3 linked regions of the Daphnia pulex genome follow. The main gene of each other region encodes a partner of the protein of the gene in region 3 in a complex. Links are inferred from orthologs where the notes say so. Each region holds a gene or a part of one and is shown on either strand. Other genes may lie near its edges. The genes, in order: splicing factor U2AF 50 kDa subunit-like, splicing factor 45-like and splicing factor 3B subunit 1-like.

Region 1 (3,752 bases), on a different chromosome or scaffold from region 3:
GTCGGTGATAGCGTTCCGGTTCGTAAAATGACGTAACGACGATACGATTGGCGAACTTGCGACCTGTCAGCGCCTGCTGGGCTTTAACGCAGTCGCTCACCGAAATAAACTCGACGAAGACCTTGCCAACTCCCGGTACATCATCGACACCCTCCAACGGCCTGGGAATTTCGACTGAACGTACGGCTCCATGACGATTGCATTCCTCACGAATATCGTCCACAATTTCCTCATATTCCTCGTCGTCCCTCAATTCCTCGGGTGTCACCATGTTCAGCAGACATAGAACCTACGCAAAAGAAAAGACCAAAATGAAATTAAAAATTGTCGCATTAGACAAGGTTGATTTTTGTACCTCTGTCGGTTGGCCAGGACCGGCAGCAAGATTGAATCCTGGTACTTGAATCTGGACTGGCATCTGGGCGTAAGCAGCGGCGTTTTTGGCTCCAACACTGGCTCGCTGGATGATGATCTTTTTGTCTCCCAACTGCATACCGTTCAATCCGGAAATAGCCTGAAAGAAAAATAAAATTAGATGTAATGGTTTTTCAAGGAATATTATCATGGTCTACTTTACTTGATCGGTGACGGTGACGTCGGCATACTCGCAGAAAGCGTATCCCTTGGATAAGCCAGTAGCCGTATCTTTAACTAAGTTAAAGGCTCGAAGTTGTCCAAAAGACATCAGCAATTCCTTTACCTAAATTCGAATGAGACAATTTGCGTGCGTGCCTAGAGTCGACCTTCAAAAATAACAATCTAGGGATCGACGGTGGGGAGATGGATCGAGGTTGTGTGGTTGGAATGGGTAGGAAGTTTTAAGGATCACGTGACCACTGTTTAGGGAGAACGAAAGAAGAAGACATTCATCAGAATCGATTTTGCTTCAACTAGACGCTCACAAATCCCATTTCTCTCACTCTTTTTTCTTCTCCCAATCGAAAACACATTTTACAGTCACATCGACGAAACAGGTAACTTACTTGTTCTTCGTTTAAGTAATTTGGAAGTCCACCGATGAACAATTTGTGGGGTGTATCCGGGACGATCGTGCTCACTGAGCAAAAAACAATGAATACATTAAAGAAATTTGCCATAAAAGAATCACTTTAAGTCGTCCTTACTTGTGCCTCCTCCTCCTCCACCACCTCCACCTCCAGCCCTCTTTTCAGTTATACCACCAGAACTCATGCCGGGCGTTGTTTCGGGACCACCACCTCCTCCTCCTCCGCCGCCACCACCAGGTGTTGGATGATAATCATGGGGTCTGCGGATTTTTAGAGTTTGACCTTTAAAGTTAATACCGTCAAAAGCCATGGCCTGGGAAGTTTCATCAATTGACCGAAACTGAAAAGTAAAAGAGCAAAATTATTTAAATATTCCACTAAAATACTAGGTTTCACGTGAAAACAATCCAACAAACCTCCAAGAATGCAAAATTCTTATCCAGATTAATTTGACAAGCTAAAATGGGATGACCTGGAGCTTGAGACAGACCAGACAAATGCATCTGTTGATTGAAGAAATCCATCATTTCCTCCTCCGCTGCGCGTACATCAGAAACTCCAAAAGGAATATTCCCAACATAGAGTCTCCTGGCTTGACGAGTGATTGTGTTACCCACTACTGGTACTTGGACTTGTGGGGCTACTTCCGTCATTATGTTAGCTGGAATTTGTCCGGCAGCTACGTAGATTCAAGAAAATAATAATTAGCACATTAAAATTGAAACTTGAATAAGGATTTATACCTTGCATTGCTTTGTATTGCATGGGTGTGATGTGTTCGAAACCAATAGGAGGAATATCCCAGTAAATAGACGGCTTTCTTCGGCGTTGCTTTTTAACAGGAGAACGACTCCTTTTGCGTTCACGTTCACGGGACTTGCTACGCTTCTTCTCCTTCTCCTTTTCCTTAGATTTAGACCTTCTCTTTCTGTCACGAGACCTGGACCGTCTACGATCCCTGTCTCTATCTCTTTCCCTATCCTTGTCTCTTTCCTTGTCCTTTTCCTTATCTCTGGAACGGTCACGATCTCTCTCCCTGTCAACTAAAGTATTTCAAATGTTAATAAATCAAACAAGTAAGTTTACTTGCTTGACTACCTTCTAACTACTATGACTAATATTTCCATACAAAAGCAAAACCACGAGCCAACATTATAAACCATTAAAAGTTATGAAATTATGTGTAAAATACAACCAGATCATTAAACACCCATTACTTGTAAGTAATGTGTGTTAAACATTTCTTTCTTAAGCATCACAGACTCTTAAGAACATTACAAAAGCATTATAGTTGATATTGACAGAAGTAGTTTAGAGAAGTTAAAACATACCTTTACGATCATCTTTATCTTCTCCCATGATTAACGTGTGATTGTTAGCTTTTGTACGACAATAAGAAGAAACACAGCAGAGGAAAACAGTTAATTATTGTCCAAATTTTCACTAAGACTGTAAGCCGGTTTGATTAAAGGCTGGGAATGGGCGAATGGCGTCGGAGACGAGGTTCGATTGACTCCTTGTACCGGCAACGTCGATTTAATGTTTACAATTTCAAACTTGGTTTTGATTAATATACTGAAAGGTAAGATTAAATATTTCATAAAATAATAGCCACATAAAATTTATTTTCTGAGTAATTGTTGTATTCATGTTAATCCTCATTAGTTGTCATTTTGCCAATTGACAACAGTCTATGCTACATTTTGACACATATAATCGTCTGCTTGACTAGCTACATCAGTTATACAGACAAGCACGTGTTTGGATAGATTTAAAAGATGAATCACTCTTCAGTTAAAAAAGAAGCTTCTATTGTTACTAAAGCAAACACATCAAAGAAGAGACCACCCAATAAAAGAGGAAGAATAATTATTCGCAATTTATCTTTCAAAGTAAGCCAAGAAACTTTAATTTATGCTACTTTTAGTATGTTAGTAAGTTAGTACTTGATTTAATTTATTAACAGGCAACAGAAGAAGCTGTTAAAAACTGGTTTGAGAAATATGGAGAAATTGAGGATGTGAAATTATTAAAGAAACCTGGTGGCACTTTAGTTGGCTGTGGTTTTGTTCAATTTAAAACAGTTCCATGTGCGGCTACAGCAATCAAAGAATGCAATGCAAAACCATTTCTTGGTAAGAAAATTTTAACATTTTAAATTTGATAATAGCTTATCAATTGTTTTTTTTTTGTAGGAAGGCAAATAGCTATTGATTGGGCCATACCAAAACAACAGTATGCCACTTTAAATAATAAAACTGACGAAGTTCCAAACATTGAGCCGCCAGAGAAGAAAAATGACAGAAAAGATGAAGAATCTGATGATGAAGAAAGTAATGATGAAGAAGAAGATAATGATGAAGAAGAACAAGATGGAGAAGCTTCTGATTCTGAAGTTGAGAATGGTTCCGGTGAAGAAGAAAGTCCAAAAAAAGAAGAAGCTTGGAAGGGTGATAATTCTGAAATAGAAAAGAAGAGTGATGTAGCAGAAGGAAAGACTCTTTTTATCAGAAATTTGGACTTTTCAACCACAAAAGACTCGTTGAAAAATTTCATGGAAAAATTTGGCAGTGTTCACTATGCATTGTTGTGTATGGATAAAATTATGGAGAGACCCAAGGGCACTGGATTCGTAAAATTTAGAGTAAGTTGCATTATTGCAAAAATAAATACATACTAATAACTTTTCATATTAACCATTTTTAGGATTCGGAATCGGCTCAAAAGTGTTTAGAAGAGTCTCGA
Region 2 (3,726 bases), on a different chromosome or scaffold from region 3:
ATTTGAGCTATATTAAATGTCAAAATATGAGGTCAATAATAATGGCAATGACAGCTGACCTTGTTCTCGATCATGTTGAGACATGAACGATTCACGAAGAATTCTTTCAACATTATGATATCATAGGAATTTTGAGGCAAGAAGAGGTTCCCACTTTGCGTAGCTATTTCGAAGAACTACATATACTCATGGTTCTTGGAAACCGGATTATACTATTTAAAAAATACGTTAACGTCGATAGATCGTCCCCTATAAAATATTAACCTCATTTTTATATGAAAGTGGTTTAACCTACTGAATGTCACTTAAAAAACACTTAAGAAAAGAACCAATTTTCATGAAATTTTTTATGATTTGGAAACGGGATATATATATGGAAACCTACCGCCAAGTTTCCGAATTCAAATCTATACTTTTTTTATTACTAAATTCTAAGCATCCACTAGAAGTCTATTACTGATTTGCAGCTACGCTTGACAACTCAAATTTTAAAAAGTAGAATCTACCTTTTGATGAAAAATGAATGTAGTCGTGAAAATCAAAGTAAAGTAAATCTATTTTACACTTTGAATGTAGAACCTTGCTTGATCAACACATTTTTGTGCAATTCAATTATTTGTTCTGGTGTGATATTGCGAGGACACGCTAGCTTGTGAAGTTAGAATTTGTTTTGCTTCGTAGTAGTTTAAATTCATCTCTCTTCATCCCTTTTAAGGAATCAATCTTATTTCCTAGAACGAGAGAAAGGTTTTTCGTCCTAAAGGTCAAATGCTTCCAACTTTTGGGAACAACGCCATACCATGTAATTAAATTCAATTACTTTCGATTCGTAAAATTTATTTTTCAATACGTGTTCAATCATTCAGCTCCATCTTGAGAAATCTTTCCACATCATAGAATCCGGCTTTCACCTGCCGACCAGCAAAGAATCGGCCGTTGAGATCAATTACGGCTACAAAAAGAAACGACAGTTAACAATTTTTAACAGACCTGTGTTATTGTTCAACTGTAGTTAATTACCTTTGATGGCAGCTTCCATTCGTTTAAATTCAACAAAAATCCGTACAGCTTCCTCTTCCTCGGCGTTAGGTACCTCGAAAATAACAACTTTATTCACATCCCCGTATTTTGTCTGACATTCCTCGCGTACTTCGGGTTCCAAATCAGAATCCACTTCACCAGGGCCAACCATATTCTAATGAAAGGGGAAACAAACAAACAACAGAATTTGAAATGAGGACCGTGAAAATGATTGACCTATGACATTACCCTCAGATAAATCACTTTTGAAGGATTCTTCATGATATCAGCAATCGTTAATTCCGCTTTGGGAGCAGCTGTTGGCGACACAACAGGTGGCGGAGGAGGCATAATTTCTTTTTCATTGATAATACGTCCACCTCGCTTGCTTGTTTTTTCCACTTGTAAGGCAGCTGCAATACCTTGCTGTTGTCGTCCAAGTCCCTGACCTTCTTTGAATCCATATTTTGCCATGATCTTAGCAGCAACACCAAGAGCTCCAACCCCACTTCCAGTAGAGGAGAGAGAAGGATGAGATGGCGATGAGTTGTCTTGTAATGATGGAGGTGGGGCAATGGCAACTCCACCAGAAGTAGAGGACTTCTTCACCATTGGTTCCTCTTCCTCATCATGTAAACGTCCAGCAAAACCTGATCCTACAGCAGATGAGGACCTAAAACATGAAATGGTTATGTAATCAGTTTCTATCATCACCATATTTATTAGGCAGCTCCCAGTCCCATTATATACCTGTCTCTGGTTTTAATATCTCGATCATCCCTAGGCTTCCTTTTCTTTTCAGCTTCTTCTATTTCAATTTCAATCCCTCGTCGTTCCTTTCTCTCTAAACAAAAAACAAAAAAAAAAACAAAAATTATTGTATTCAGATTTTTCATTTTCTATAAAAGGTGCTGTGTACCCCTAATGATTTTGTCATAGTCAGTAGGATGCAGTGGATCATACTCTAGATTTGGGTCCCATTCCAATTCAGCAAAGAGTGAGGATCTCTCTTGTTTAGGAACAATAGTTGTCAAGAGTTGGGGTGTCTGATGAATCAGATTTTTGGTCATTTCAGGTTCAGTTTTTATCTGTGATTCAGTAGCTGTGAGGCAGGGTGGTATTACAGGATGGATAGCTCTTCGGATACCTTCACGTTTTGGCTAGGAAAAACAAATCTTTCTTCATAATCTATGAGTAACAAATGAAATGTAAATTGTAGGATACCTGTGTAATCATAGCTTTCTTTAAGTGCATCTGCGAATGTAAAAGCTTGATTCCTGACGACCATCCGGTGACAGATTTAGCTTTATTTTCGTCGATATCATCGTAAAGAGACATTTTCACAGCAAAGTAATTTCTTATATCCGTTGAATTAGTTGTCGTTCAAATCGTTTTTAAACAGAGCTCAGGACGCCTTCGCAGTAACATACACAAGAAATAAAAATAGACGACGAATGCAAATTGTACTGTATTTTTTTATGTTTTGATGTATTCATCTCATGAAAGGTGAAGGTGACTACTAAACAGCTACCTAAATCTGCAGTGAGGAACCAGGGGGCAGGGGCATGCCAGGGCCCAGCAGGGCCAGGGCCCAGGGGTGGCCAGGGGTGGCCAGGCACTACAGATACAGCGATACTACCCTGTTTCTACTTATAAATAATTGAATTGTTTTTTTGTCAATTAAACACCTTGCTTTTCGGATACGGAATAGAAAATACGGAGCTTCTCCCAAAAAATTGCCTCCTTGCGCATATCGTTGATTTTTGATTGTTTTGGGACAGGAATATTTTTGGGTCGGCCCTTTTACGAGTTACGACACCTCCAAATGTCGCCACAGTTGTGTGCCGTTAATTGTATGCGTATCTATATTATCGAGCGGACGGACTTGTTATAAGAGGTGTCTGTGACGAAGAATCAGTGACGAGAAAGAATAAAGTTATTTATATCGCAAATTCCAACAATTGGTTTGTGAGAAGTCACTGTTTTTCTGCAATAAAACTCAACGTGGCTACATCTTGCATCTGAACTTTCTGTAGCACCGAACAATAATTATTTTAATACTATTTTTAAATTAACTGAATTTAACCGAATCTTTAACGCTTCTTTTAAGAATCATTAATAATGATGCAGACACGTGTATTACTTCTTGAAAACCGGTAGCTATTAAACTTAAGCCGGGCGGAGATTACCGCCTTCGTTAGAGAAAACGAGACGACTTCTCCGTAGAAGAAACAGAAAGAGAACAATTAAAATCACGGAGAAGGAAAAGAAAGAAGAAAAGCGGCTGAGGAAAAGTTCTAAAAACGTGATGTAAGCTATTGTAGCTGAATTTGAAAGGAAATCTTGGGACGGTAGGGAGAGACATCGATTCCGAGTTACGACTAGATCATGGGCGTTTCGTATGAGTTAACCCAATGCTAGACAATTATAAACACGTAAATAGAACAATCAACGCTCGTAAACTATGAAGAATGGAGGAATGTATCTGTTATCGAAACATATTTTGCTGTGTTACGTCGTTTTCAAATTCAGACCAGGCGTCGTTCAGTTCCATAAAAATCATTTTTGCTATTTTCTCGTTGTCAGTTCCAGACTGTGTGATAATACATTCGAATTAAAGGCAACTTTTCTTACTAAATGTAAATGACGTGATAAATTTTACCAACCTGTTTGTCTGGATGCACTGCCAAGCAAGCCTTACGATAC
Region 3 (3,701 bases):
AATTAGGGAATTCAGTTGATGTTGGTTCATTTAATTTGATTTTCTATAATAACAGAATTTTTAAAAATGGCAATCTTTAATAAGGACAGAAGTAATACTCTTACAATATATTGCGGATATTCAAACATGAAGGTCATTTCGCATTTGTTGTCTTCCAATTCGAAAACAAAACGATGAATCCCTCGAATGAAGGAGAACGTGAGAAGGGAGCCAACTAACAGTTTGAGCAAATTGTTTTTCTTCATTTTCACGTAAAATTTATGTGTCTCCCTTCACGACAATACACTTTTCACCAGTAAATAGTTTAAGCAATATTATACCAAGATAAATATATTTTTTGTAAACTATGAAATTAGCTTAAAACTATGACAACAAAAAGGAAAATATTGTCATTTGACATTTCAAAATACTTACTAAGAATGTCGTCTGCACATCCGAATTGCATTGTTGCCAATATGCTGTAGAAATCATTGAAAAATATTTGACTCGTCGATATTCGATAACAACCATGAGTAATAAGGATTAGGAAATCATAATATAGTATGGAAAAAGGCATTTCATGACTCTTACTCGATAGAAATTGCCTTCAACTATTATTTTTCAAGCGTTTAAAGACTCAACTCAAGAGTCAAGAGTCAAGAGAGGCTGACCGGAGCCGCACGTCCGCACCGGCCATTTTATAAATACAGATTTATTATTCTATAAAAAATATTTAATACAGAAACGGAAAAAAACTTTCGTCTACAAATAGAAACTATAGACACACACAATTTGGTGGAATTCGACGATGAAATGTATAATTTGCATTTCTACGCATTTGAGATTTGATTTGACAGCAGCAACAAATCTTCATGCATGATCTGGCAACAAAGTGCGTTGTAAAGAAGAGTGGAGAAGCTCTAAAAATGGACGCGAATAATAAGGCACCGAATACGTACGACGGTAATATTGTTTTTCTATTTACATCATATTGGCAATTATTTCAAAGATAAGATAATTTACAGCTTTTTTTGCTACCCAAATTTTTATCATTGGATTATTTGGTTAACTTATTTACCTCTAGTTGCACATGTGTATAAGTGTCTCATAACAACTCTGAACATGCCATAATATTAACTGTGTTTAACATGTGGTTTGATATGTCTTTCCAGAAATTGCAGCTCAAGTTCAGGAAATCCAGTCAAGGAGCAAGGTAGATATATCTGAAAAAGATCGCATCGGATTTGGCGAATCAGGCATTTTTGATTCAGAAATCTACGGTGAAGTTCAAAGTCGATTTGATGGATATGTAACTTCAATTGCCACAACTGATGAAGTTGAAGAAGAAGATTATGATGGAGCAGTTGCCACTGGAGGCAGGCAAACTTTCACAGCACCAGCTGCGATTCTCAATGAAGTGGCAGGAGAAGACTTTGACCCATTTGCTGAACATCGCAGACCAACTATTGCTGACAGAGAAGATGAATACAGAGCAAAGCGTCGGAAGTTGATTATTTCCCCAGAACGTGTTGATCCATTTGCTGAAGGTAAATTTAATATTTTTTATTCATTTTAGTATACTTGCTTGTTGTAATGCAAAGTGGAACACATTATTCAATTTAATCTTATTTTAGAATTAAGAACATCTGTGATTGTGAAGTAAACTCTTTTTGTTTATCTATATTCTCATGTCGTGACCCAATGGCAAATTAAAAGAGTGCCATAGCAACCAGTTAAGTTAAGAGCTCTTGGAGGTGAGTAATCTAAGGCTCTCAAAGGGGAATTGTTACAAGAAACTATTAAGGATACTAGAAGCCAATATTAACCTAGAACAAGCTACTTAATTATAGGTGGATTATTCACTTGTGGGCCAGGAGCTGATCTGCTCAAATTCCCCTTCCGTAATCATCACCACGTATGTATTTGTAACTTCTTGTGGGCGAAGAAACTGGTTTAAGAGTTTTTTCTACTTCCGTCGCTCACAGGGAGTTTGGGTCTCGACTGCCAATTTTTTCTTTAAATTTCGATTACAAAATCTTCCTTACTTTGAATAATAACCCATTTTCCTTTTTTATATTGCTATTCTGTGCAGGCGGTAAAACCCCAGACGTTGGATCTCGCACTTACGCTCATATTATTCGTGAACAACAGTTGCGCGCAGAAGAGCAAGAGGTAATGACAATGGATAATTTATGGTGTAGTTGAGATTATACATGTAATCATTTGTATTCATTTCTAGGTCCGCCGGAAGCTTGCCGACAAAGCTAAGGATGGTACCTTAAAAGCTGTAACGGTACCATCAAACGGCGAATCAAATGAAGCGCCACGGAAACGTGCAGCCCGTTGGGATCAAACAGGTGAAGGTGACACAGGTCCTGCTGCCACTCCAGTTGCAGCACCAACTGTTCCTACGGTAAAGAAGAAAACCTGGGAAGTGGAAACGCCAGCAGTAGCTCGTTGGGATGAAACTCCTTCTCGCTCCAAAGGCTCTGAAACCCCGGCAGCTGGAGGTGTTACCCCTGGAAGTCGTCTGTGGGATGCTACGCCGGGAAATGACGACTCCCGCAAACGGAATCGCTGGGACGAAACACCGAAAACTGAAAGAGCCGGCGAATTTACTCCTGGTTTTGGTTCTGGTTGGGCTGAGACACCACGGACAGATCGTGGAGGAGACACAATCCAGGAGACACCAACTCCTTCGGCATCGAAACGTCGCAGCCGTTGGGATGAAACACCAGCTAATTCCAGTGCGACACCGTCTGGTGGAATGACTCCGCAAACTCCTTCACTATCTGGAGCTATGACTCCAAGAATGACACCGGGTGGAGCTACTCCAATCGGACAAAAAGCTATGGCCATGGCTACCCCAACTCCAGGACACCTTGTTACCATGACTCCTGAACAACTACAAGTAATCAGTGCATTATCCGTTTTGATGTTCAATATGTAACCCACAATGAAATTTATCGAAATAGGCATACCGATGGGAAAGAGAAATCGACGAAAGAAACCGCCCAATTGGAGATGATGAACTAGACGGGATGTTTCCAGAAGGCTACAAGGTCCTGCCTCCTCCAGCTGGATACATTCCTCTACGTACCCCGGCGCGCAAATTAACTGCAACTCCCACTCCATTAGCTGGGGCCAATTCGGGATTCTACATGCAACAAGAAGATAAAACTGCCTCAAAATACATGGACACACAACCCAAAGGCGGTAACTTGCCCTTTTTGAAGCCAGAAGATGCCCAATATTTTGACAAGCTATTGGTAATTATACTTAACTATTTCTTTTAAGTAAAATTAAAAAGTTTTTACTCTATTATTTTGCAGATTGATGTTGATGAAGATTCATTGAGCCCAGAAGAGCTTAAAGAACGAAAAATCATGACTCTTTTACTTAAAATCAAGAACGGTACCCCACCTATGCGTAAATCTGCATTAAGACAAATCACTGATAAGGTAAACTGATATATATTATTTTAAAGTAATTGTATCTTCAAACTGCGTTTATGTTTTTCAATAGGCTAGAGAATTCGGAGCTGGTCCACTTTTCAATCAGATCCTTCCTTTATTGATGTCTCCTACCCTTGAAGACCAAGAGCGACATTTGCTCGTTAAAGTTATCGATCGCATTCTCTACAAATTGGATGATCTAGTGCGTCCATACGTCCACAAAATCCTTGTCGTTATTGAACCGCTGCTAATCGACGAAGACTATTA

Evidence for each region.
Region 1: the proteins of splicing factor 3B subunit 1-like (region 3) and splicing factor U2AF 50 kDa subunit-like are in contact, whole or in part, in a crystal structure (PDB 7SN6), measured with the Homo sapiens proteins. The link is inferred for Daphnia pulex from reciprocal best matches to the Homo sapiens genes SF3B1 and U2AF2. Residues at the interface, in NP_036565.2 of Homo sapiens: Ser336, Arg337, Trp338, Asp339, Thr341, Pro342, Ala343, Met346; in NP_009210.1 of Homo sapiens: Met383, Glu388, Glu394, Glu397, Ile398, Asp401, Val402, Glu405, Gln447, Gly448, Leu449, Thr450, Gly451, Arg452, Lys453, Phe454, Ala455, Val459.
Region 2: the proteins of splicing factor 3B subunit 1-like (region 3) and splicing factor 45-like are in contact, whole or in part, in a crystal structure (PDB 2PEH), measured with the Homo sapiens proteins. The link is inferred for Daphnia pulex from reciprocal best matches to the Homo sapiens genes SF3B1 and RBM17. Residues at the interface, in NP_036565.2 of Homo sapiens: Arg334, Ser336, Arg337, Trp338, Asp339, Glu340, Thr341, Pro342; in NP_001139019.1 of Homo sapiens: Leu309, Met312, Val313, Asp319, Asp321, Leu322, Glu325, Thr326, Glu329, Leu372, Arg375, Tyr376, Phe377, Gly378, Gly379, Val382.

What each region holds. Positions count from the first base shown.
Region 1 is NC_060018.1:5,213,299-5,217,050, forward strand, and holds the start of splicing factor U2AF 50 kDa subunit-like, read right to left. Parts: upstream 2,520-3,752; 5' UTR 2,367-2,519; coding exon 2,339-2,366; intron 2,051-2,338; coding exon 1,751-2,050; intron 1,687-1,750; coding exon 1,424-1,686; intron 1,348-1,423; coding exon 1,125-1,347; intron 1,058-1,124; coding exon 984-1,057; intron 701-983; coding exon 578-700; intron 515-577; coding exon 356-514; intron 290-355; coding exon 1-289. Other genes in the region: RNA-binding protein 28-like, read left to right, coding at 2,786-2,899, 2,974-3,142, 3,203-3,651, 3,714-3,752. UniProt on the Homo sapiens protein: Plays a role in pre-mRNA splicing and 3'-end processing. By recruiting PRPF19 and the PRP19C/Prp19 complex/NTC/Nineteen complex to the RNA polymerase II C-terminal domain (CTD), and thereby pre-mRNA, may couple transcription to splicing.
Region 2 is NC_060018.1:8,645,123-8,648,848, reverse strand, and holds splicing factor 45-like, read right to left. Parts: upstream 2,560-3,726; 5' UTR 2,359-2,559; coding exon 2,245-2,358; intron 2,181-2,244; coding exon 1,940-2,180; intron 1,865-1,939; coding exon 1,771-1,864; intron 1,694-1,770; coding exon 1,270-1,693; intron 1,196-1,269; coding exon 1,021-1,195; intron 953-1,020; coding exon 855-952; 3' UTR 821-854; exon of another isoform or gene 732-820; 3' UTR 539-731; downstream 1-538. Other genes in the region: cyclin-G-associated kinase-like, read right to left, coding at 3,509-3,613, 3,687-3,726. UniProt on the Homo sapiens protein: Splice factor that binds to the single-stranded 3'AG at the exon/intron border and promotes its utilization in the second catalytic step. Involved in the regulation of alternative splicing and the utilization of cryptic splice sites.
Region 3 is NC_060027.1:4,651,434-4,655,134, reverse strand, and holds the start of splicing factor 3B subunit 1-like, read left to right. Parts: upstream 1-816; 5' UTR 817-851; coding exon 852-942; intron 943-1,151; coding exon 1,152-1,526; intron 1,527-2,071; coding exon 2,072-2,151; intron 2,152-2,218; coding exon 2,219-2,890; intron 2,891-2,954; coding exon 2,955-3,248; intron 3,249-3,311; coding exon 3,312-3,440; intron 3,441-3,504; coding exon 3,505-3,701. Other genes in the region: GPI inositol-deacylase-like, read right to left, coding at 1-43, 105-245. UniProt on the Homo sapiens protein: Component of the 17S U2 SnRNP complex of the spliceosome, a large ribonucleoprotein complex that removes introns from transcribed pre-mRNAs.